Linked DNA regions of Mus musculus: all the other regions are reported to be linked to region 6. The links are microRNA targets in miRTarBase. Many come from high-throughput screens and were not tested one by one. Region 6 holds a microRNA gene; each other region holds the end of a gene's coding sequence. Distances are from middle to middle.

Region 1 (4,086 bases), 2.0 Mb from region 6:
CTTGCTACTACTTCTCTTCTCCCCAAGCTCCATGGAGTGCTAAGGATTTAGACCCTTGTCTTTCCATCTGGTAGGGGAAGGCTGGTCCAGTGGCCTCAAGTCTGCTCTAGGGAACAGGTGGTGAAGACTCCAAACAGTAGAGACAGAGACAGCAAGGAGGATGGTGTGTATAAGCAGGACCCAAATCACAGGAGCTAGCCTGGGAAAGCCTTGCGAGGAGCAGAGACACCTCCAAGTAGAGCCCTGGCAGCTGAGGAGCAGAGTGTGGGTGCCAATGTCAGGTCAAGTTGCCAGGGCTTCCTGGGTGCTCTTGGTCTTAGAGTACTGCCAGGAGCAGCAGACAGGAATAGCTATGTCCAAGCAACCCTGTCTAGAATTCAGTGTGTGGGAGGGCTCTGGTATAAATCTTCCGGTGGCCAGGTTCTGAGCTGGATGGAGCAGAGCCTCTCTGCAGAATACATGTACACAGAATACATGCTGTCTTGCGACACCTGTCCTGCAGATGGTTTTGGAGGGTAACACTCTGTGCCTGGGCGATAGGGTGGTGGTATTGGGCATGTTCAGTTTGGAAGCCATCACCGTCTATGCTAGGGATAGCCGAAGAGGCCATGAGTGAGCATAGTCAGGGAAGATCTACCATTCTCAGACAGTTAGCCTTGATGTGGGTGGTCGGGGTCCAGCAGCTTGACTCAAGGCTCTATCTGTTTCCATGCAGGGCCTTACTAAGAGTCACTCAACCCTTTATTTTTGAAAGAAGGAGATCTTCCGGACTCCTGGGCTGTCTTCCACCCTAGGCTGGGCCCTTTGCCAGCACCCAGTCGCTCACATCCGGCCCCCTCCCTCCGTACTCACTAGAGAGCCAACATCTGTCTCTAGCTGCCCGCCCCTCTCCTTCGACCCCAGAATACTCTCTGTTTCCCGCCTAATTATTGTCGCGGAAGAGGGGGAGGGGCGGCTGGAAGGACGTCCTCTGTGGTTTGCTTCTGGATTTTTGGTAGGCTTTCAGTCATTTCTTGTCTTGATCAACAGAATTTGCGTGAGAGTGCCTTTCAGTTATAGACCCTGGCTATAACCCGAGGCTGCCGGCCAGCAGTACAGCCTCAGGGGGATTTAGAACAGATTCCATTCCATGTGGTTGTCTGTAAAGTGGACCCTGAAGCTGACCGCTGTATGTCTCGGACCGTAGACCCACTCGTGGCAAACCCTGTCATTCTCGCCCATCGCCTGGGTCATCGCTACCCCAAACCATCACCCGGAACCCAAGGAGGGTCCCCCGGATGGCTGGGCGGAAAAGAATGAATGTCGGACTGGCCTCGGAGGCCTCTTCCACTTCCGGCGACTGATCGCAGCGGATACTTAGATTTCTGCAGTTGCGGCTGCGGTTGGCTGGCGTACGCTGCAAGCGGATAGAGTTTGGCTCAGGCTGGGGGCAGCGGGGAGGGCAACCGCTTCCATTACCGGCCGGGAGCCTTGGGAAGTAGGACCTGGAACTGAGTGTCTGTCAATCATGGATCAGGACGACCCAGCCGAAGCGTTGACTGAGCTACGCGAGAAGCGGCTGGGCTTGCTGGAGATAGTGCAAGCGGCGGCAGGCTCGGGATTGGCCGTCTATACTATATGGGCGCTGCTGCTGCAGCCGGGCTTCCGCCGGGTGCCTCTGAGGCTGCAGGTGCAGCGTTGAACCTTGGAAGGAAAGGGGCCAATACTGGTGCAAGCCAAGGTTCCATGGGTGGGGTCAAGGCTACTGTAGGTAGCGTAAAGATGGGCGGAATCAATTATGGCGCGGGACCTAACCCGGGAACCCGATGTACGGAGAGTTGGGACCAGGAAGTTGCGGAGCCTGGGTCTTTCGTCAAGACCAAGTCTAAATGAATGAAGCTGGGATTGAGTTACTTAGGGGGTACGGGCCTATGACTGGAGAGTGGGCGGGGCTCACTGGATGGTATCAATTTAAGAAAGGAAATCTAGTAGGCTCCCATCGGCCCCCAAACTGGTGCTTCTGCCTGTGTGATTTCTAGCCTCAGCCCACCAAATTCCTTATTCAGGTGCCCTACGTTGGCGCGAGTGCCCGGCAGGTTGAGAACGTGCTGTCACTGTTGCGAGGCCGCCCTGGAAAAATGGTGGATCTAGGCTCTGGTGATGGCAGGATCGTAAGACCTGTGTCTATATATTCGTTGTCCCTCTGGTGGTGGCCCCATTCCCTTCATCCAGATCCCACACTCTTGGCTCCCATAGGTGCTGGCGGCCCACCAATGTGGTCTCCGTCCAGCTATGGGATATGAGCTGAACCCGTGGCTTGTGGGACTTGCACGGCTGCATGCCTGGAGAGCCGGTTGTTCTGCGAGTGTCTGCTACCATCGAAAAGATCTCTGGAAGGTACCCTACCAAACTTGATACCCCTCCCTCCCCCTCCCACTCTCTTTCTTTCCAAACTTGATTTTCTTTACCCTCCCTCTTCCTTTCATTTTTTTTTTTTTTTTGAGATGTGTGTCCAGGCTTATCTCAAACTAGCCTTGGATTATAGGCATCAGACCTAGTTTATGCAGAACTGGAGATTAAACCCAGGGATATGTGTATGCTAGGCAAGCACTCTGCCACCTGAGGCACACCTCCAGCTCCTGATATCTTTATCTCCCAAGTTTCATGCTCTGAGTGGCTATTATGTGGATATCTGGGTGGGCTAGAGGCCCTACCTTGGGGACTGCATGCCCTCCAGCCTTTACCCTTGTTTTCTACAGGTGAGCCTCAGGGACTGTCACAACGTGTCTGTGTTCCTGGCTCCCAGTGTGGTAGGTTTTGGGTCTGTTGTCCTGCTGGGAGATCAGGGCCACAGTCTTGGCTCTTGGATGCTCTCGGGCCTGGAATATGTTCTGGGCTCAGCTGGATGGGGCAGCTTTTTCTGACCTGCTCCTGTGTTCTTTTCCCTCCTGTTCTTTCCTACAGCTCCAACTGCTGGAGGACAAACTGCAAGCAGAGCTCCCTGTGGGGGCCCGTGTGGTATCTGGACGATTCCCCCTTCCCACCTGGCAGCCTGTAGCTGTGGTGGGCGAGGGCACTGACAGAGTTTGGGCCTATGATGTCCATGGTTCTGGGCCAACTGTGTCTTCTTGTGGGGTGCCCATCAAGGCCATCCCAGAGTCCAGTTCTACCTTAGTCCCTAGAGCCCCTGTTTGACAAACTGGCTGACTGGATAAAATAAAGACTCTGTGGGTTCAATCCTGACTTTTGTTTGTTCCAGGAATCACTTCCTGGGGCAGGGTGTCCAGAGGGTTCCATGCTGGCTGTAAAGAGATTTCTTTTGAGATTTTTCTGGGAGACTAGCTAGTGACTCTGAGTCCTTGGGCGCTGAGGCCTAGTGGAAGATACAGCTTTTTTTTTTTTTTTTTTTTTTTTTTTGAGACAGGGTTTCTCTGTATAGCCCTGGCTGTTCTGGAGCTCACTCTGTAGACCAGGCTGGCCTCGAACTCAGAAATCTGCCTGCCTCTGCCTCTGCCTCCGGAGTGCTGGGATTAAAGTCGTGCGCCACCACTACCCGGCGAAGATACAGCTTCTACTCCTTGGGGATCTCCAATATTCACCAACTTCCTCAGTTTCAAGATTTCCTGCTTGTACCTGATTGGAATGATAAATCACTTGTCTGGCCATGGATTCTTTTCTTTCCACCAGATTAGGACCCTGGAGCCACATCCAGCCTACCTGCCCAAGTGCTGGTCCACATACTCCTGTAGCTCAGAAAGCTGCTGCTCTGCCATGGTGGCCCGGACCATCAGCTGTGCCCGTTCCCGTTCTAGCTCTGCCTGGTGGAGGCATGAGTTATGAGCCATGGTAGGAGGTAGAGTAGGGGGTCTCCGCCGCTCCTTCCCTACTACCTGAGTGTCCTGGGAGAAGTCCTGCAGCCTCTGCTGGATTTGGGCCCAGGATGCAGTGTCTAGGGCCCTGTGAGGAGAGGGTAGGAGGGGCAGTCTCCGAGCCAGGCATAATACTTGCTGCGTGGTTTTAGGACAGCATAGCACTGCCTGGAGCCCCGGAGCATCTGCACTTGGATAGTCCCCTGACTAGCTCAGTGAGCCCTCGTCTACACAGTGT
Region 2 (4,086 bases), not on the chromosome of region 6:
GTGAAAATTGTTCTTTGTCCAACTCCTGCCGCCACCAGGACGTGATGCTGAGCTGCACAGTGTTGGTCGCAGGACTGTGTGTCTGGCAGCCTTTGCTCCTCCCTGAGGGTTATAGCAGACCCTTTCCTCTACTCACCTCACTTTCTTTTAGTCTGAACAGCAAAAGAAGCAACAGGAGGCTGAAAAACTGCATCGTCAGGAAAGGAAAAATCTGCGCAGGTCGGCCAGCCACCTGAGGTCCAGACCCAGAAGAGGCCGGCCCTTTCACTGACCAAAGAAATGTGCCCACGAGCAACTAGACGCTGTGCTTCTCCCCATGGATTCTCACAAGGGCATCACACCCAGGCTCCGTGTAGATGTGTGTGCATGGTGCTGGTGGTCTGACTGGCCCACTACCCACCTGGAGAAGTCCCTGGCCCTGGGTGCTTTTTCCAAGTGGCTGCCCCTTTCTCTCTCCCCCTCCCCCGCCCCCCTTAAATCTTGTCTTCTCCCCTGCTGATGATCAGGCATCATTTCAGATATTGGAAAGGCCTCCATGAAGTGAAAAGTTCACCCTCTACTGGAAACAGGACATTATCATGCTGTAAGAATGGCTTGGGTTAGCCCAGCCGTGGTGGCGCACGCCTTTGATCCCAGCACTTGGGAGGCAGAGGCAGGCGGATTTCTGAGTTCGAGGCCAGCCTGGTCTACAGAGTGAGTTCCAGGACAGCCAGAGCTACACAGAGAAAACCTGTCTGGAACCCCCCCCCCCCAAAAAAAAGAATGGTTTGGGGTTTTTTGTTTTGTTTTGTTTTGTTTTTTTGTCATTTGTTTATTTGAGACTTGAGTCAGGGTTTCTCCGTGTAGCTCTGGGTGTCCTGGAATTCAATCTGTGGCCTTGAACTCATAGAGATCCACTTGCCTCTGCCTCCTGAGTGCTGAAGTTAAAGGGATGCACCACCAGGCCCAGCCAGAGTGTCTGTCCCCACTGTCTTCTGCCCCTCAGGACTGAGTCACATGATGACTGCTGAGTGGCCCTGTTTATGTGCATGAGTATGTTGGCAGGCTGACTGGCTTGCTTATATTCCTTTGTATAGTTTTTAAGCTATTTTTATATCAAGGGTATAAATTAATAAATAATAAGTGAACGCTACTGGCTATTTGTTTAGCTTATCACAAAATTACGTAGTTATTTTCTGATGAAGTACTATTTGATACAGGCAGCGCCTATAAAAGGAGATGCTTTTCTTTGGACATTTTCTCTGAGGAAGACTCCTGCCTGTGGAAATTTAAAATTCACTTTAGCTTCCATACTTTGGAGTTTCTCATGTAAACAAATAGAATGGGAGCTCGTTAGGCTGTACCTATGGTGAGTCCACAAGGCAGGACACATTAGTTAGCAGTCAGTGTTGTTGGACCCTTGTCTCTTTAGCCTGTGATGTGTACTCAAGAACTTTCTGACTGTTGGTACATGAATCTGCACATGCGCATGCACGCACCCACGTACCCACGCGCACACACACTCCTACCTCTTTATTAACTATTAAGCAGATCCCTCCTGGGGCTGTGAGCCCCTGGTGCCCTCTCTTCCCTTTCTCAAAGTTTCCCATTTTAAAATTGTTGTGCATGCTGGTATCCCACTCTGTCATTTTTCTGTGTTTATATCAGTTGCTTTTGTACACCTATCACCAAAATAATCAATATGGACTTAAGGGATTCATCTTGGCTCTTAGTTTCAGAGGGTGTCAGGGTGTGCAGATGCTGTTCACATCACTACAGGCCAGGAAATGGAAACCCAGACAGGGCCTTAAAGGGCTTGTCTGAGCAACCTGTGGTTGACCTCTGCCAGCTAGCCTTCACCTCAAAGAACATCCCCACACATCCTAACTACTATCTGGGGACAGATGTTTAAGTTAGAGGCCTGTGGGAGACATTTCAGGCTCAAACCCTAACCTGTGATTGCTCGTTACCAGCACTAGGATGTGGCTTTGTCCAGTCCTGCCAGCAGCTGTCCTTCCCGGTGAGACTTAGGAGCTAGTGTGAGAAGTGTAGCACCAAAGCTGGGCACCAGGCCCTGGAGGACTGGGGTTCCTGAGTGATGTGTGCTCTTCTGCTCCAGATCCCTCTCAAAGCTTTAGTATCCCAATCCCAATGCCTAAATCTTCTGTTTCAAGTATTTTCATCAGTAACCTTTGAAGGAAGCAGACATGCTGGGAGGGGCAGGATTAACACAGGGCAGACAGCAGAAAATACAGGCCCAGGGGTGCGGGACTTAGAAGGGCTTCTGGGAAGAAGATTGAGTTCAGATCCTTTCCTCAGAATCCTCCCCTGGTTCTCTTCTCATCCAGTAACATCCTGAGTCCCTGAAGGACCCTGCCTGGCACAGACTCCTTTGTTTGCTGTCACCACACTGACCTTCCTCTTTCTAGAACATTCCGGGCATTCCCTCAGCTCCCCACGCTCCCCCAGGCCTCTCAAGTTACTTTCTCTCCTGTCTGGTCAATTCTGCCCCATTTACATTGTCACATCCCAGTGTCAGCATGTGTTTACAAATGGTACTCCATTTAATATGCTTTCAAAACGTCACCACGGGGACCACAGAGTCTTCTTGAGTGGAAGAAGAAAACCAAATACAGTAAATCATATCTGACCTATACATGAGTATCCATGCTCATATACTCATGCACACACATGTGCACACACACAAATAAGTATAGCATAAATTTAGAACCTTACTATGGAAAGTGTCGGGTACACACAAGAATGGATGGGGAACAGTCGAGTAGACCAGCATGCCCCAGCAGTGTGCAACGTGCTCACGGTGAGTTCTCAGCTAGCTTGTCCAGTGTCAGCTCCTGTTTCCAGAATGCCAACTCAATAAGGACTAGGGGGAATGTTTTAATCAGTATGTTTTGTTTGTAGCTGTGTATCTTAATCTCTCGAACAATGCCTACCACATCATGCAATGTTTATTTAAGCCGTTATGGGGTGCCCACCAGAGAAAACCACTCAGACGTAGTCCATAGCTGCCAATGGTGACTGCACTCAGGTCTTTGAGGCCCAGTACAGCACCAAGCTTTTAGCATAAGGGGTTTTTAAGGCAAAACCACATCCTGGTATCTCACTTGGCAGCTGCAGGGAAAGAGCTGTACAAGCAAGCAGTATAACAGAAGCCAAGGTAAATTAGCTGGAGCATCTTGACCTCTTAGAGTTGGTAATTATTTCCCACAGGATTCTCCATGGAGGAGAGCAAATTCTAGTTAAACCTAAAGTGGCCTCAGCAAGAAGACAAGCTAGAGGAACGCTGTGTTCTCCTGCCCTGTCACAAATGACTGAGTGGGATGGAATTGAACATTCAACTTTCTACTTTTTTTTTAATTAGGTATTTTCCTCATTTACATTTCCAATGCTATCCCAAAAGTCCCCCATACCCTCCCCCCACCCCCCTACCCACCCACTCCCACTTTTTGGCCCTGGCGTTCCCCTGTACTGGGGCATAGAAAGTTTGCAAGTCCAATGGGCCTCTCTTTCCAGTGATGGCCAACTAGGCCATCTTTTGATACATATGCAGCTAGAGACACGAGCTCTGGGGAACTGGTTCGTTCATAATGTTGTTCCACCTATAGGGTTGCAGATCTCTTTAGCTCCTTGGGTGCTTTCTCTAGCTCCTCCATTGGGGGCCCTGTGATCCGTCCAATAGCTGACTGTGAGCATCCACTTAGGTGTTTGCCAGGCACCAGCATAGCCTCACAAGAGACAGCTATATCAGGGTCCTAGCAGCACAATCTTGCTAGTGTATGCAATGGTGTCGGCTTTTGGAGGCTGATTATGGGATGGGTCCCCAGATATGGCAGTCTCTAGATGGTCCATCCTTTTGTCTCAGCTCCAAACTTTGTCTCTGTAACTCCTTCCATGGGTGTTTTGTTCCCAATTCTAAAAAGGGGCAAAGTGTCCACACTTTGGTCTTCGTTCTTCTTGAGTTTCATGTGTTTTGCAAATTGTAACTTATATCGTGGGTATCCTAAGTTTCTGGGCTAATATCCACTTATCAGTTCAACTTTCTACTTAATGTCAGACTTTAACCTTTATGCCTAAGAAGTGATTCCC
Region 3 (4,086 bases), not on the chromosome of region 6:
TTTTTGTTTTGCTAAGCTGAAAGTTAAAATGAAGCCAAAGCCGTGGTCCAAACGCTGGGAACGTCCAAACTTCAACATTAAGGGAATCAGATTTGACCTTGCTTTAACTGAAGAGCAAATGAAGGAAGCCCAGAAGTGGAACAAGCCATGGATTGAGTTTGATATGATGAGAGAATATGACACTTCAAAAATTGAAGCTGCATTGTGGGAAGAAATAGAAGCATCGAAGAAGTCTTGATCCTGGGACTAGTGAATGGCTCAACAGGTAAACATGCCTGTTGGCTCAGGCCTGATGCCCTGAACTTGACTCTGGAACCCAGGGCGGAAGGCGAGTAACAACTCCTAAAAGTTGCCCTTTGGCTTCTACTGCACATCCTTGCGTATGTGTACTGCAATTACACACACACTTAAAAGTATCTTTCTGCCGGGTGTGGTGGCGCATGCCTTTAATCCCAGCACTCGGGAGGCAGAGGCAGGCGGATTTCTGAGTTCGAGGCCAGCCTGGTCTACAAAGTGAGGTCCAGGACAGCCAGGGCTATACAGAGAAACCCTGTCTTGACAAACCAAAAAAAAAAAAAAAAAAAAAAAAAAAAGTATCTTTCTTTTAAGCCCTTGTTCTGAGAATGCCTTTGGTTAATGTATTAGCTCTTTGGTTTGAAAGCCATTAAGTTTGCTTTGTAAGGACATAGTGATTAAATGAGCATTCCTCACTTTTCGGTACCTAGCATAAAGTCTGCATGTCAGTTTATTGCTCTCAAAAGAGCAATCACCTGACAGTCATTCCCTTTCTATAGCCAGTGAAGTTAGCATCACCAGAATAAGATGAACTGGGATCTGAGCAAGAGGAGTAGGGAAAAAACCATAAACACACAACAGTGTGCAAGTTAAAATGTAAGAATAGGAGCTGTAGAGGTGGCTCAGTAGTTCAGAGCACTTGCTACTCTTGCAGAGGCCCTACGTTTAGTTCCTAGCACCCAGGCCTGTATGTGTGTACATGGTTCCAGAGACCAGGAAGTATCAGACTGCCTGGAACTGGAGTTACAGCTGCTTATGACACAGGTGGTAGTTTGAATATGCTTGGCCCATATGGAGTGGTACTGTTAGGAAGTGTGGCCGTGTTGGATGAAGTATGTCACGGTGGGGGTGGGCTTTGCGGTCTCATGTTCAAGTGTGGTCAGCGTCAGACTCTCCTAGCTGTAGTTGGATCAAGATGCAGAACTCTCAGCCGTGTGTCTGCCTGGACACTTCCATGATGTTAATGGACTGAAGCTCTGATACTGTTAAGCCAGCCCTAATTCAATGTTGTCCCTTATGAGAGTTGCCTTAGTCGTGGTGTCTCGTCACAGCAATGAAACCCCAGCTAACACAACCCACCTGATAATCTCTCCATTGTTAAATGTCTAGTTTTGACAGGCTCATTAGCTGGTAGAAAAGGGTCCTGTTTTGCTACATGGCAGTTTTAAGAAGAATGTGGGAATCTGAGTTGTTGTATTCTGGCTTCATTTCCCCCAAGTTTACAAAAGCCACTTGTGAGGAATTCCATGGGTAGAATTCCAAGTGAAGTCTGCTAAGCAGACCTCAGGGTACCTGGCAGAGCCTGTGTGAACTGGGTGTGAATGTCCAGCAGGAAGATGGTCAGAGAGTGTTATCTTCCCTATGAATCAAGCTTCAGCTTTTGGGGGTCAGCACTCCCTCTAGTGGGGCAGAGTGCAGCTGAACATGGGCTGGGAAGCTGGGATGCCTCACAGAGTAAAGGCTAACCCATTTGTAACATCACAGTGCCAGCCTGGATCTCAGGACTATTTTTCTGGTGAGCTGCTCTGCATTCCGTGTCATTTTCCTGGCTGCTAACTCCTTAATTATTCTAGTTTCCAGAGATGTGCATGTGTGTGGACCGCCATGGGCATACATATACCTCATGATCAGGCTCAGGAGTCCTTTCAGTCACGTTGGCCACGTTTTACTCTTGAGAGAGACTGTACTATCTGGCCTGTACTCTCTCTCTTCTCTGAGGTCTCCATGCTACAGAGTCTACTTGAATAGTTTTAGTGCTGCATTGAGAAACCCAGCGTCGTCCGGGTTTCTGCTCCTTGGGCATGACTGGACAGCAGAGAACGTGTGCTGTGCTTGGTGCACGGGCAGGTACATTTATCTACCTAGTTTAGGGCTGTGGGTAAGCCTCTCAGTGCTGACTCGAGTTCTGGGAGACTTGGCTCTTGCTGCTGAGTTTCTCTCCTCTGCTTCTGTCTTCCTGGAACCATTATTTGGAGTTTAGATGCTGAGTACCTCTTTTCTATTTAAGTGCATGCTTGTGTGACTGCATCAGACCCCCGGGAGCTGGAGTTACAGGTGGTTGTGAGCCACCTGGTGTGGGTGCTGGGAAGGGAATGCCACTGAGTCTGTCCAGTCTCTGAGACACACACAGGTCTCCCGATAGACCTGTCTGTGTGGGTGGGTAGAAAGGGCCCTAGGCTGTTCTCCTGTATGCTTCATTTTCCTGAACCTGTTTCAGTGTTGACAATAAATTCATGAGTCAGTTGAAGGAGAATAAGACTTTACCTAAAATTAGTTTTCTAACTCACGAACACGGTGTCTCTGCAGTTAGGCCTTTTAAGTTCCCCTCTCCAGGTGTGGTAATCCAAAGGCTTGGGAGGCAGAGGCAGGAGGGTTCCAAGATCAGTGTCACGTACACTTCAGAATGAGACCCAGTCTCCACAAAAGAAACCATCAGAGATGGACAGTGAAAGTTTGTTGTTTCTGGTTCTTAAGTTTTTGTCGTGGTCTCATGAAGCCCCAGCTGGCCCGCAGCTCACTGGGTCTGTGAGACGAATCACCAGGTGAGTGTGTGCACCTGTTGTGTCAGCGCCTTCATTTCACAGGACCAGGAGGAACGAGTAAGAACTCTAAAAGGGCAGTAGAGTTAGCATCACAATATGTTTTAAAGACGCTTGGAAGCTCACATGCCAGGCGTAATGGAATTTAAAGGCGATAGCTTACTACTCTGCATCCCATGAAGAAGAGAGATGATGACCGAGAGCACAGCCATCCACACGTCCATCTCGAAGAAGCCAAGGCCAGAGAACAGTTTCCAAAAGTGCCCTTTAACAGCAAAAATAAAGTCTCTGCCATTTATATACAAAACTTTCTGCACACATATACACATGCTTTTGTAACGAGCAAATGTCTAAAGTGACAACACGGAAAAATAAATACAGGATCATCATTGAGTTGCTTAACAAATATACTTAAGAACATTAATACAGTCATTTTGAGAAAAGTTCATAATTTCTTAATCACCTTGCCTCAGACTACCTTAATTAGAGAAATACTTTACATTTCTGTATTTAAAAGAGCAATGGCCTTTTTAGTCCTACCATGAGTTACACAAAACATAGCAAAAAAGCCTCACTTAAGGACTTACAGATGACTCAGACCACAGCTTCATTCTTCACAGGGAGGGTGAAGATCTCTTCTGAGGACCTGGGTTTGGTTCCAAGCACATTAGATGGCCCACAACCTCCTGGATTCCAGTTCCAGGGGACCTGATGCCCTCTGGCCCCTACATGGAGGTAGTGCTAAACCCACCCAGGTACATACATGACCACACATATAAAAATAAATCTTTTTTCAAAGTTTTTTTTTTTTTAACAAATTGACAATGAATCAAAATCTGGAGATCACTGGCACTCTCTTGCACTGATTTCACACAGTAAGTCAGTACAGATTTTGAAAGGACAGTTTGTATAAAAATGTGTTAGCTATTTAATAAGTAATTCCTTACACTTCAGAATGAGACCGAGTCCCCACCAAAGAATAAGATAAAAGAAACCATCCAGAGATAGAGCTTCCTCATTAGCTGATCTGCAAACATTGGAGTTTGCTGAAGATGGTTTTGATTCAGGCATGCTTCTGTGTGTCAGATTGCTTCATTTCCTTCCGGATTGAGAGAGTAAAAGAGCAGCACACTGAGCTCGGCTGCTGCTGTGCATTACTTCCCTCAGCTACGAAGCATCAGGAGGCCTGGCCACACCCCAAGTGGGCACCCAGCAAAGGCGGCATCGGCTGTGACACGGTCATCTTGACTCT
Region 4 (4,080 bases), not on the chromosome of region 6:
AGGTACCGCAGGCCGCGTCTGCAGCAAGACTTCTAAAGGAACAGATGGGTGTGAAATCATGTGTTGTGGCCGAGGGTATGACACAACTCGGGTCACCCGCGTCACCCAGTGTGAGTGCAAATTCCACTGGTGCTGTGCTGTGCGGTGCAAGGAGTGCAGAAACACTGTGGATGTCCACACATGCAAGGCCCCTAAGAAGGCAGAGTGGCTGGACCAGACCTGAACACACAGAAACCTCATTCTTCCCTCCACTTCAAGCCTCTGACTCAAAAGCACAAGACCCTTGCATGCGCACCTTCCTCTACCCTCAATCCTGGGCTGCTATGGCTTCTGTCACGGACCTGGAGAGTGATCCGGAGGGACCCCAATGTCCCGGCCGCCTGGTTCCTTAGCCCTAGGGACGTGTTGATAGGGGATGGATTTAGGAGGCTGAGTGACTCCCTGATGGTCCATCTGGAGGTTTGAAGGGAGAGTAGGAGAGGTCTGTCTTCAGAGTGATTTGAGTTGCACTAAGTCAAGGCTCATCCTCCCCTTTGCTTGCACTGACTTCTGATCCTCTTTGGGTATGCAACAGGAAGGGAACCTGGAGGTAGCTTCCGTGTTTGATGCTACTCTGCCTGAGGATAGGACAGAGATAAAACTGCCTGTCCCTTTGCTGGAGACAGTACGGGCAGACAATCTTAGGCCATAGTATTCTGCTGAGACCCTGAGATAGCTAGATGGGTTAGCCACATTGAACAAGGCTCCACATCATGCTTCTACGCAGCTTATAAAGTAGTGGTTTGGTGAGGAGGAAAATCACAATGCTCTACAGATACACATTCTCTGTGCCTCCCTTTCCACCTACATCACACAGCAGCAGCCTGCTCACTGGCTGCCTGTTCAGAGTGAGGCAGCTTGCAGTGGGTCAAATTCTTACCAGGCCATTAGAGGCCCGGAACAGGATTGTGAGAGAATGACATAGAAAGCCTGGCTAGGCCTTGGGACTTCCCCCACATCCACTATTCCGGAGATTCGGTAGGAAGGGAGGTAACTCATGGGAAGGGTGAGCGCACCTGATCTCAGGGGTTCCATGAGGATCAGTGTATACTAGGAAGGCAGAGATCTCGCATTTTGCTAGTTCTTGAGGATCTTCAGCTTTGAAGTAGGAACAAAAGGCAGCAGCTATAGAGAGAGAGCTGGTGCTGGAGCCGAGGTGGCAAACATCCTATAAGGCCTTTCTCATTTACCCAGCAAATCTTTATTTTGTGATTCACCAGGTCCAACTGTTAACTACTGCACGTTCCACGATCGACTTAAACAGGGAAGGTTCTCTCTGTGCTACTGACCGTTGCCTAACGAGGGTACACAGGAGTGGAGCCTTCAAAGAGAGCAGGCACAGTGACATGGGGGTTCCAAACCTTGATGGTCTAGTTTTATGTGACCTCGACAATGGTCATCTTCTTCCCTATTGATAAACAGAAATAGTATAGAAATCCACAGTTAGACTTAGGTCTAATCCCAGCTATTTACTCTCTATTTTTTATTTTCAGCAGGGTCTTTAAATTCTCCTCTCCCATTTTCTTATCTGTAAAGTGAGGGTGAAACTGAGATCTAACTGTGCCCCAAACTCTAGCCGACTGATAGACGTCATCAACACTCTCACTGGTCAAGTACTTCCTGCTTCTCTGGGACCTTCTGATTTAGGGCTGTCTGGGCAGACAACAGACTAGATTCAAAGGCTTTCACAAGGAATTCTGGATATAGCTCCTCTCTCTCTTCTCAGGTTCCTCTTCATCCAATCGTACTCTCAGATGTTTGTGGAGCAACCTCTTTCTGCCCAGGCAGCAGGAGGCTGGGGTGGGGTGGGGTGGGGGGGCACAGCTCTGGCCACAGAGGCAGATTTATTTGGATGATAGGACTAATATTTGTGTAACCTGCTGAGACCTGTGTGGGAGAGTTTAGTATGGTTTTTCTTTTGGTGAGGGGATTTGCTCCGGTTTCACATCCATTAACACAAAACATGAGCTAGTCAGGGCCCTTGTGGTCTGTGGTGAGGGGATGACTGGAGAAACGGGACTGAGTGAGTCAGGCGGAGGGAATGTCTTCCTCGCAGAGTAGAGTCAACGGGATAACTGATGAGCCAGTGGTGGGGTCACGGAGGGGGGCGGAGGGGAAGAGGGACTTCTCTTGGAAGAGAGGAGTTTTGGGGCAGGGGCGAGAACATCCAAGTTACGGTATCAGTGATGGCATTGGCCTTCACTGGGGAGCCAGCCTGAGGTAAATCTACTTGTGCTGTATTCTCTTTGAGTTTGGGTTCTTAGCTGTGGCAGACATCTGTGACATCTCATATTACTCCATGCCTTTGCCTGGGCTCCAAATTCTAGCTGATAAAGATATACAACCACTTATAAATGGCTCAGAGAGAAATAGCTGTCCAGGGAGTGAGAAGTTTGTAAAGTGAGGTGTTTATGTGAGAGAAAAGATATCCGAGTCCTGCTACGGAAGCTGTGTGGCCCCAAGAAGGAATGGTGGCCAAGCAATTAGTTTTTCCTCCGAACTTAGCTTGTCTCTGCATTCCAACTGGCTTTAGACAACTGGCGCTCATTCTGCGCTATACAAACAAACTGATTTATTTGGAACAAGCAACAAAACAAGAACTTTATTCCGTGCCGGGACTCCACAGAATTCTGTTGCTACCTACTCCTTGTCTGCTCTGAAGGCCTCCTCTTCTGTCTCTAGATGGTAGAGGTTTGTTGCCCACCAGCGGTGTCTTAACCTCCTTCCTCAGTTCCTTTCTCTCGTGTTGGCCCTTACTTCATTTATCTTTTGATAAACATTTAGGACAGTGTATTTCAATAGGAGCTATTTGGATACAAAGTGAACTTAAAAGGTACTGTTTCTATCCTTTAGGGATAATAGGATCTTTTCGGAGAAGTGGCTGCACAGCCTGCAGGCAGTTTCTTTTAAATAGAAGAGCCAGGGTGATGGCTTATGGTTGTAATCCCAACACTCTGGGAGGCTGATGCAGGAGGATAGCTGTGTTTATGAGCAGTGAGTTCCATGTTAGTTTAAGAGCAGAGTAAGACCCTGTCTCAAACAAACAGGAAGAAAGAATGTTGGCCATACCCCATAACTCAGCACTATAGAAAAGAAGCTTTCAGTTTTCAGCTCTGAACAATGGCATCAGAGCACGCTCTTCATTAGTGTACTTCAGATTAAAAGAAGAAAATACTGTCCTGAGGGTCTGTGTGCAAAGCTTTGGAGATTTAACTTATGAGCACTCCAGGCTTCATCTCTCTTCCTCTCTGCTGTAGGAAACTATCTTCCCCTTTCTCTTGCATCCCTTATCGAGAACACCAACCATCAGGTCTCTTGCCAAATTCTTAGACCCACTCAGGACATAAGTCTCTGCATGGCTTAATAGAAGACAGATAATCAGGATTTCCCGCCCCCACCCCACCTTTCTAAAATTTGTATTTAAATGCCCTCAGTGGTCATAGGGCAGAAGCCCAAGCTAGCTGGGGATAAGGGACGCGGCCAGGGAGAGTGTTTCTCATCCCTGGGAGGCATTCTGCTTAGCTCCTGCAGCCAAATTACAGCAGCAGAGAACAATGCAGTGCATTCCTGGGCAGGTCGGTGGGCCCTGGGCGCCTGGGTCTGGTGGAGAGAGGTGCCAGACACAGAGCGCTCCATAAGCAACCCTGCAGAGCTGGCCCTGGGTGCAGAAATGAAATACAGCGAGCTTCACATTACACACCTGGTTATTGATGGCCTTGCTGGAGGCCTCTGCCCCCACCTTCCACTTGGGAACTGCCTGTACTGCGGGGGCTGGGCACCTCCGAAGCAGTGTTGGAATATAAGAAAGGCATGCTTCTTTTTTACTCTTTGCCCTTCCTGTCAGCCTGAGCATAACTCTGAGGACACACATGGACCCATGTGCAGAAGGTGGACTCAAAACAGACTCCCACAGCATTTTTTGGGTTGTATGGGGATTATAATAATCTCACCTCTCCCAACAATTAAAATAAGCAGCTAGATCCTCCAGAAGTCACACCAACAACAGGGTCAGCTACAAGCAAGGAATGTTTCAAAACTACA
Region 5 (4,086 bases), not on the chromosome of region 6:
TTGCCTCCAACTCACAGAGATCCACATGCCTCTGCCTCCCAACTACTAGGGTTAAAGACATGCGCTATCCACTGCCCGGCCTTCGTTGCTTTTCTATCATTAGCTTTCTGTACTTCTAAATTACTAAAGATTAGTTCAGCGCTAGCTATGTCGGAATCTCTGGAACTGAATAACAGGGCAAAGTTGTCCCTTTATCCCCTTATACCTAACTTTGCCTGCATCTCTGGCACTCCCCTAATGCATGTATTTAATGCCTTTTTTTTTTTTTTTTTTTTTTTAAGGACAAGTGAGATACAAGGGGCCAACCAACTCCTGGAGCTCTTTGACCTTGGCAAATACTTTATTCAGCGGGAAATCTACCCAGGCAGCAAAGTCACACACTTTGAGAGGTAGGCAGACAGCTGGTGTGGGAGCAAGTGGACTACAAAAGAAGTCAGCTTGACAAGTGGTTACCCCTGCCTTGTTCTTCACAGGTTGCACCACAAGACCGGAGTTCCTTTCTCTCAGATGGTCTTCTTTGATGATGAGAATCGGAATATCATAGACGTTGGCAGACTTGGTACTGAGTCACTGCTGGGGGGTGAGGGGGGGGGAGTTCTTAAAAGAAGATAAAGTAAGTGTAGGGTGGGTAGTATACGGCAGAGCCTTGAAAGTGTGGTAAAATGTGACTGCTCTTTGTTCCAGGCGTTACCTGCATTCACATCCGGGATGGGATGAGTCTTCAAACGTTAACTCAAGGATTAGAGACATTTGCAAAGGCCCAAGCTGGACTCTGAGGTCCAATCCTGTGGATAAGCCTCATCTGCAGTGTAAAACTAAAATCAAGAAAGCCTTGTCAGGGGCTCTTGTATTAAAGTGTCCACGTGTGACAGTCAGGGTTCTGCCACCGTATGGGTTGTTTCCATTTTTCTTTTCTTTTTCACAAAGATTTATTTATGTATATGATACTGTCATTGTCTTCAGACACACCAGAAGAGGGTATCGTATCAGATCCCATTACAGATGGCTGTGAGTTACCATGTGGTTGCTGGGAATTGACCTCAGGACCTCTGGAAGAGCAGGCAGTGCTCTTAACCACTGAGCCATCTCTCCAGTCTGTTTCCATTTTTCTAACATGTAAACTGAAGTTGTGTCCTGATTAGAGTGCACCAGGTTGTTGTTTCCTTGTGTTGGAACCCACCCTGAGACCTCCTCCAACGGTTTCAAATAGTGGGGTGCCATAACGCTGTGCATTTCTTTGTAGGGACTAAAAGTTAATACTGTTTGGAAATAAGGTTGGGGCCGGCCGGCCTTTTCTGGTAGTAGGGAGTAGCTCAGGAATGAGCCAACCATAGCACGAGGCTTTGTCCCTCCAAGGTTTTAATTGCGCTATATCCTGATTGATGATGTCATGGCTATCTATATCCTGGAGGGATTGGCCAAGGCCCTTCTCAGAATGGTGATAGTCTAGAGGAAGGCAGGCAAGCCGAGGGATAGAGGCGGGAGAGAGAGAGCAATGAATGGACTCTGGACTCGGCAGACTCTTTAGGAGGTGTGACCCTGGGAGACATTGGGCCTCCTGGGAGGTGCTGGCCAGAAGGGAATGGGAACAACAAGAGCCAGGCAAGAAGAGGCCCAGGAGACAGGCTGGCCTGAAAACCTTGACCCAGCCTGGCACCCTGTTGCCAGAGGCCAACCTTATCCAACCGCCTTGTCCCAGTCAGCCTTGAGCTGGACTGAGTCAGGGGGTGTGAATGGATGGTGGTGAGACAATTGTTAACTCCTGTGGCATGCATGGGCTTGAGGGGACTGCTTTCCAGGTGGCTGTATCCAGTCGTTTCTAAAATGTTGTTGCTTACTTCATTTGAATAAAAGAGATCCAAAGTGAAAAGGAAAGACAATTTTCTTTAAGCTGTATCTGCTGATATGGGTGTGTCTAGAAAAACTCATTGGCAGTATAATGTGCAACTCAGCAATACAGATGATCCCAAAAAACCAAGGCAGCATAGATGTAGGCTCTGGATACCATGTTCAAAAAGGCTTACCGTTTTCCCGGTGTGACACTGAGGTAACCCTGGGAGGAGCCTTCACGACACATATACCCAATTACAGTAGTTTATGGAAAGCTGGCCGTTCTGAGTTTGGGGGATGTGGGGGATGTAAAAAGGAAAGGATGTAGGAGCGTAGATGGCGAGATGAGCAGGTCATGAAAGACCTTGTATATTCCAGAAGCATTTTTGGGTTATTATCCCGTCAGCAATGCAGAGAGGATGGGAGGGTTTAAAGCAGGCAGAAGGCACCAGACTTTTATTTGCAAAGGTTATTCACTATAGAAATGGGGGGAGAGACTGGTACATTGTCTTCCCTGTACCCCAGTCCCTTGAACTTCCTTTAGTTTGATCATGTAGAGCAGGATCTTTGACATCAAGACAGACAGCAAGTGGGACAGTGGTCATCAAATGTGACTTAAAATGAAACTAAGAAGGTGCCAAAGAACATGGGCTTTGGAGTCTGCTTGCTTCTTTTATTTTCCTCTTTTGAGTCAGGATTTTGCTATATATAGTCCTGGCTGACCTGGACTCATGTGAAGGTCAGACTGGCCTCAAACTTACAGCTATCCTCTTGTAGCAGCCTTTCAAGTGTTGGTATTTTTAGGTATGTGCCACCATACCCAGCACAACATTTTGATCACGACTTAATCTACTGAACATGACTCCAGACAAAAACATTTCAGTCTTTGTGCTCGTCTTCATATTTGTCCAGTGACACCAACACGTTCATTATAATTACTTAGAATGTACACCTAGCATACACTGTGTACTCAGTAACTGGTAGCTAATACTTTTCCTTCATACAATACGGGTGTGCTCCATTGGACTCTTGAAGAAAAGGAGGGTTTAATTCCTGAAGAAACAATACAGAAACTGGAGGAGACAGAAAAAATACTGATCAAGAAACTAGAACTGGAGTTACTGGTAGTTTTGAGTTATCAGATGTGGTGTTGGGAACTGCTGGGTCCTCTATAAGGTTTTTTCTCTTTTCTTTTTGGTTTTGTTTTGTTTTGTTTTGAGACAGGGTTTCTCTGTGTAGCCCTGGCTGTCCTGGAACTCACTCTGTAGACCAGGCTGGCCTCGAACTCAGAAATCCACCCGCCTCTGCCTCCCAAGTGCTGGGATCAAAGGCGTGAGCCACCATCGCCCGGCCTTTTTGGTTTTGTTTTGTATGTGTTCTTTTGTTTTGTTTTTGATACAGGGACTTGGTACCCCTGGTTGTTCTAGAACTTACTATGTAGACCAGGCTGGCCTTAAACTCAGAGATCTCCCAGCCTCTCTGTCTTCTGAGATTTTTTTTGTTTGTTTTCAATTTCTTTTATTTTTGTGTATGTCTCTGTGTGTTTATGCCACATGTGTGGGTGTCCACAGAAATCAGAGGAGGGTCTTGGGTGCCCCAGAGCTGGAGTTAACAGGCAATGTGAGCTGTCTCATGTGGGATGATGGTCCCTGCATCTCATGTGGGATAGTAACTGCATCACAGTTGGGATGGTCACTACATCTCAGGTGGGATGGTTCCTGCATCTCATGTAGAATCACTATATCTCATGTGGGATGCTCACTGCATCAAAGATGAGATGGTGGGAACCAAACCTGTGTCCTCTAGGAGAACAATAAGTGCTCTTAACAACTAAGCCTTCTCTCCAGCTTGCACTTCGAATTTCTTAAACTTCTCAAAATATACACATGTCTTTAATGATTAGAAACCTTGCTTTCTTCATGAAAGATCCTTTTGCTAGTCAGGGTATTCTAAGCAAAAACGATTCATTTTTAAAGCTTCTTTAGGGAAGAAAGTATAAAATCCAATGTGAGGCTATATGATGGAAGGACTTGATGGTGTGAGGTGAGAAAGCCAATGGTGGCTAGGGGCTTCAGGGAAGGGAGGCTGAGGGAAGAGCGCCCTCTGATTCCTTGGCAGTGTATCCTGTTCTTAATGACGTTGGAAAGGCAGAGGGACTGATAGCTAACATCACAGAACAACAGGAGCTGGCCCAGGAGATCTCGGGTGCCATTTCTCACTCTGTGGGTCTTGGAGATGACAGGGATGAAGTGACTG
Region 6 (4,086 bases):
CCGGCATCTGTGAACCTTGCTGACTCAAGAACACCAGCTGCTGCTGCAGCTATGAACTTAGCCAGCCCTAGAACAGCAGTGGCTCCTTCAGCTGTGAACCTTGCAGATCCTCGAACCCCTGCAGCTTCAGCTGTGAACCTAGCAGGAGCTAGAACACCAGCTGCATTAGCAGCTTTGAGTCTCACAGGCTCTGGGACACCTCCAACTGCTGCAAATTACCCCTCCAGTTCCAGAACACCCCAGGCTCCAACCCCCGCAAACCTGGTGGTGGGTCCTCGATCTGCGCATGGCACAGCTCCTGTGAATATTGCTGGCTCTAGAACCCCTGCAGGCTTGGCTCCCACAAATCTCTCCAGTTCCAGGATGGCTCCAGCATTGTCTGGTGCAAACCTCACCAGTCCCAGGGTGCCCCTTTCTGCTTATGATCGTGTTAGTGGCAGAACCTCACCTTTAATGCTTGATCGAGCCAGGTCCAGAACACCACCATCTGCCCCAAGCCAGTCTAGAATGACCTCTGAGCGTGAGCGGGCTCCTTCCCCTGCTTCAAGAATGGTTCAGGCTTCTTCGCAATCTCTTCTCCCTCCTGCACAGGATCGGCCTCGGTCCCCTGTGCCATCTGCTTTTTCAGACCAATCTCGTTCAGTTGTCCAGACCACTCCTGTAGCAGGGTCTCAGTCCCTTTCATCCGGGACAGTAGCGAAGTCCACATCCTCTGCTAGTGACCACAATGGCATGCTTTCTGGCCCTGCCCCTGGGATATCCCATGCTGAAGGTGGGGAGCCACCTGCCTCTACTGGGGCCCAGCAGCCTTCTACATTGGCTGCTCTGCAACCAGCTAAGGAACGTCGGAGCTCTTCCTCCTCTTCATCATCATCTAGCTCCTCCTCCTCTTCATCATCTTCATCGTCATCCTCCTCTTCCTCTGGCTCCAGTTCTAGTGATTCAGAGGGTTCCAGCCTTCCAGCTCAACCTGAGGTGGCACTGAAAAGGTGAGGCAATTAAGGGATCTAGGGAGCAGGGACTTAACAATGGGTGGGTGAGTAGGGAGGGAGAAATCTTGTCAAAAGCACTTGGCTTTGAGAAAGTATGGGGGACCTTGGCCTTCAAGCTGGGAGTAGAAAGAATGTTGGGCGGGGGCTTTGTGGGGAGGAATGGGACAGATAAAAGTCTCCAAAGGTTAATTCTCCAGAGGATAATGATAAGTTTTCCATCTCTACAGAGGACAGAACTAGAGGAAATGGACTTAATTTTACAGCAGGAGGGATGGCAGTTAGACCTCAAGAGGAACTCCCTGGGCTGGAAGGATCTTCAGAGGTCATCCCATCCCTCTCCCTGCCTCCAGGCAGGACGGCCCCTCCCCAGCCAACCTGCACTCACAGGGGCCTCCCCAAGCTGCGGCTCTCCAAGGAAGGAGATCACCCAGCTTCAGCTTCCACATCTGAGTCCAGGGGCCTTAATCCTTCATCAGGGACATTCTTGAGGTTTAACCTTGATCCCTTGTGCTTCGGGCCCCAGCCTGTTGCTTGTGTTAGCAGAGGTTTGGTCAGCTCTGTGCCACTGCTCCAGAGAAGTACTACTCACTGGCCTGCCTTCGTGTTTTCCCAGGGCTTTTCTCAGGCACCCCTCCCCCACTGCCGTTCCTCCAGGCCAAGGAAGGTAGGGTTGGGGTTGGGGCATCTTGTCTCCTTGTGACACCTTTCTTCTCTCACAGGGTTCCCAGCCCCACCCCAGTCCCAAAGGAGGCTATTAGAGAGGGACGTCCTCAGGAACCAACCCCGGCCAAAAGGAAGAGGCGCTCTAGCAGCTCCAGTTCCAGCTCCTCCTCCTCCTCCTCTTCCTCTTCTTCCTCTTCCTCCTCCTCCTCATCTTCCTCCTCCTCTTCTTCCTCTTCTTCCTCCTCTTCTTCCTCCTCTTCCTCCTCCCCCTCCCCTGCTAAGCCTGGCCCTCAGGCATTACCCAAACCTGCAAGCCCCAAGAAGCCACCCCCTGGCGAGAGGAGGTGAGTGCTTTCTTGCCTGTTGTGGAAGGGGGGTTGGGGTGAGTTCTCCAGAAAGGGGACCCTGGGTGAGGTTCCTGCTGGGGTGCCTCGTGTGGACGTCTGTGACTGGTTGTACGGGAGAAGGAGTGCCGGACTCCTCCCATCCTCCCACAGTGTTGTATTCTGGTCAAGGGCTGCACTATCTAACTGAGGTGTCCCAGGCCATATCTGGGAAGTCATAGGATTCTTCCTCCCTCTCCCCTCCCCTGACAAGCAGCCTGGTCTCAGAGATCTAGCTCTAAGTCTCCCCATTGCTGCTGCAGGGCTCTGGTCTGGCCACCGTCATCTTCTCCCGACTCTGTCCACAGCCTCCTCCCTGTCTCCCTGCCTCCACGCCATTCTCTTCCACACGTAGCCAGAGGGATCTTTCTAAAACGCACATCTGGTTACTTCCCTTCACTCCACAAATCCTTCCGGAACGCCCTGTGGCCTGCAGGATAAAGTGCCACCTCTGCGGGAATGGCGTGTGAGGCTCTTCACCAGCTGCCCTTGCCCGCCCTGTGCTCCTCCTGCCCGCCCCCACACATGCCCCGTGCTCCGGCCATACCCAGCGCCTTGCAGTCTAAGGAGAGCCCCATGCCTTTGGACATGCTGTTCCTTCTGCCTGGGATTTCCTTGTCTGCCTGGTGAACTCGTTCTGCAAGACTGCATTCAAACAGCACCTCCGAGAAGACTGCCCTGCCATTTCCCTGTCCTGCCCAGGTCCCCATCCTTTCTCTGGATCCCCAGGCCCATGCATATCCATCCTGCTGGGCTGTTTCCTATGTAGGGGGCGTGTGTGCCTTCATTGTTAACCTTTACTACCAAACAAAATTCTTCCAAGGGCAGGGACTCTTTTATCTTTGCATCCCCCGCTGCACCCTGTGCCCTGTCCACTGGGGTACTCGGTGGATGGTGTGCGGGCGGATGGGTGAGTGCGGACAAAGGTGGGTCTGAGGCTGGCCCTGTGTGGTGTGAGGTTTGGTGGTCAGGACCTGGGTGGGTGGTCCTGAATGCTTGGCTGGTGGGTTTGGGAGGATGTGGAGCTATAGAGGCCTACTCTGCTTCCTAGGTCTCGAAGTCCTCGGAAGCCAATAGACTCCCTTCGGGATTCCCGATCCCTCAGTTACTCACCCGTTGAGCGTCGACAGCCCTCGCCCCAACCTTCACCAAGGGATCTACAGAGGTAGGGCCTATAGCAGGTGCTAGCAACCTGACTCAACTAGCTACCATTAATTTGTAAGCAAAATTTAAAAGTTTTTGGTATTGTTCTGTGACCTAATTTCTCCTCTTGTAGCAGTGAGCGAGTTTCCTGGAGAGGCCAGCGAGGGGACAGTCACTCTCCTGGTCACAAGAGGAAGGAGACACCTAGTCCCCGTTCTAATCGTCACCGCTCCTCCAGGTGTGTCTCCTTGGAAGTCTGGCCCTTCTGAGAGCTAGTAGTTAGGGATAGGGATATGTGTGGTGACCCAGAATGACCAGTCTTCTCTATTCCAGGTCTCCATAATCTGGATTCCACTACACCTCATACTCTGGAGACATGAGTATTCCTCATTTTTCCCAGAAGAATCATGGAAGGAGTCTTTGTATGCCTTCCCTTGAACCTTGGCAGCATCTTGAGGGGAGAGCGTCCTCTCCCACCCACCCTTTTTTTTTTTTTTTTTTTTTTTGGTTCCTGTGAAATGTTGATCTCTGTGAGTTTTTCCTGGTTCTTGTGTTTTGGGGGTTGGAGTGGGAGGGAGGGAGTCTAGGGAGGGAGGGGCACAGCTCAGGACATCTAGGCCTCAGATTGTGATGATCCAGGGAGTTAGCTCCCTAAATTCTTGGGTGACTGATGGTTTAACTTGGTAAGTTGTAATCTTTCCTGAAAGAGGAAGGAGCTGAAGTTGGTTGGCCCTGCTGCACCCCCTTACAAGGTTGTGAGGCCCTCTCCCCCCCAACTTTGTTTAAGGCATTTTGGTTTTTTAAAATCTGTACAGTAAAAGCAACTTTTTCTGTCAAATAAAAATGAGAAATGCAGTAATTGGTCTGTAGTCTTTACTTGGGGTTAAGAGTTCTGTGAACAAGAG

Evidence for each region. The annotated mature microRNA mmu-miR-5125 reads UCUGCCUGGGAUUUCCUUGU and lies in region 6 at 2,638-2,657, shown strand. An mRNA with a match to its seed (bases 2 to 7 or 8) in the 3' UTR can be bound and repressed. Matches are read on the target gene's strand: a 7mer-m8 pairs with bases 2 to 8, a 7mer-A1 pairs with bases 2 to 7 and ends in A, and an 8mer does both.
Region 1: miRTarBase lists Ccdc78 as a target of mmu-miR-5125. Seed matches in the 3' UTR shown: 7mer-A1 at 3,489-3,495, 7mer-A1 at 3,483-3,489 and 8mer at 3,473-3,480.
Region 2: the mRNA of Nol10 is a reported target of mmu-miR-5125. Seed matches in the 3' UTR shown: 7mer-A1 at 645-651.
Region 3: the mRNA of Mrpl19 is a reported target of mmu-miR-5125. Seed matches in the 3' UTR shown: 7mer-A1 at 465-471 and 7mer-A1 at 2,652-2,658.
Region 4: miRTarBase lists Wnt2b as a target of mmu-miR-5125. Seed matches in the 3' UTR shown: 7mer-A1 at 1,096-1,102, 7mer-m8 at 1,821-1,827 and 7mer-A1 at 1,876-1,882.
Region 5: the mRNA of Mdp1 is a reported target of mmu-miR-5125. Seed matches in the 3' UTR shown: 7mer-m8 at 1,059-1,065.

Annotation. Positions count from the first base shown.
Region 1 is chr17:25,789,636-25,793,721 of GRCm38, reverse strand. It overlaps Ccdc78 (coiled-coil domain containing 78), which reads right to left. Exons shown (of 13, transcript NM_001165929.1): 11 at 3,870-3,936; 12 at 3,697-3,797; 13 at 3,209-3,612. The coding sequence ends at 3,510. Antkmt (adenine nucleotide translocase lysine methyltransferase) reads left to right here and starts at 1,328. Exons shown (of 5, transcript NM_145410.4): 1 at 1,328-1,669; 2 at 2,046-2,150; 3 at 2,236-2,376; 4 at 2,739-2,789; 5 at 2,944-3,222. The coding sequence starts at 1,508. The coding sequence ends at 3,174.
Region 2 is chr12:17,428,964-17,433,049 of GRCm38, forward strand. It overlaps Nol10 (nucleolar protein 10), which reads left to right. Exons shown (of 21, transcript NM_001008421.1): 21 at 152-1,132. The coding sequence ends at 271. Among named protein-coding and RNA genes, the nearest start is that of Gm36752, 5.5 kb to the right of the region's middle.
Region 3 is chr6:81,958,093-81,962,178 of GRCm38, reverse strand. Mrpl19 (mitochondrial ribosomal protein L19) reads left to right here. Exons shown (of 5, transcript NM_026490.2): 5 at 17-4,086. The coding sequence ends at 238. Gcfc2 (GC-rich sequence DNA binding factor 2) reads right to left here. Exons shown (of 17, transcript NM_177884.3): 17 at 3,081-4,086. Among named protein-coding and RNA genes, the nearest start is that of Mrpl19, 5.8 kb to the left of the region's middle.
Region 4 is chr3:104,943,114-104,947,193 of GRCm38, reverse strand. It overlaps Wnt2b (wingless-type MMTV integration site family, member 2B), which reads left to right. Exons shown (of 5, transcript NM_009520.3): 5 at 1-2,389. The coding sequence ends at 223. It also overlaps a transcript of St7l not described here. Among named protein-coding and RNA genes, the nearest start is that of Wnt2b, 17 kb to the left of the region's middle.
Region 5 is chr14:55,655,673-55,659,758 of GRCm38, reverse strand. Mdp1 (magnesium-dependent phosphatase 1) reads left to right here. Exons shown (of 6, transcript NM_023397.5): 4 at 282-389; 5 at 474-559; 6 at 685-1,870. The coding sequence ends at 776. Among named protein-coding and RNA genes, the nearest start is that of Mdp1, 2.7 kb to the left of the region's middle.
Region 6 is chr17:23,820,702-23,824,787 of GRCm38, forward strand. It overlaps Mir5125 (microRNA 5125), which reads left to right and starts at 2,590; the gene lies at 2,590-2,668. Srrm2 (serine/arginine repetitive matrix 2) reads left to right here. Exons shown (of 15, transcript NM_001368687.1): 11 at 1-989; 12 at 1,712-1,999; 13 at 3,090-3,203; 14 at 3,315-3,419; 15 at 3,515-4,040. The coding sequence ends at 3,524. Elob (elongin B) reads right to left here. Exons shown (of 4, transcript NM_026305.2): 4 at 4,039-4,086.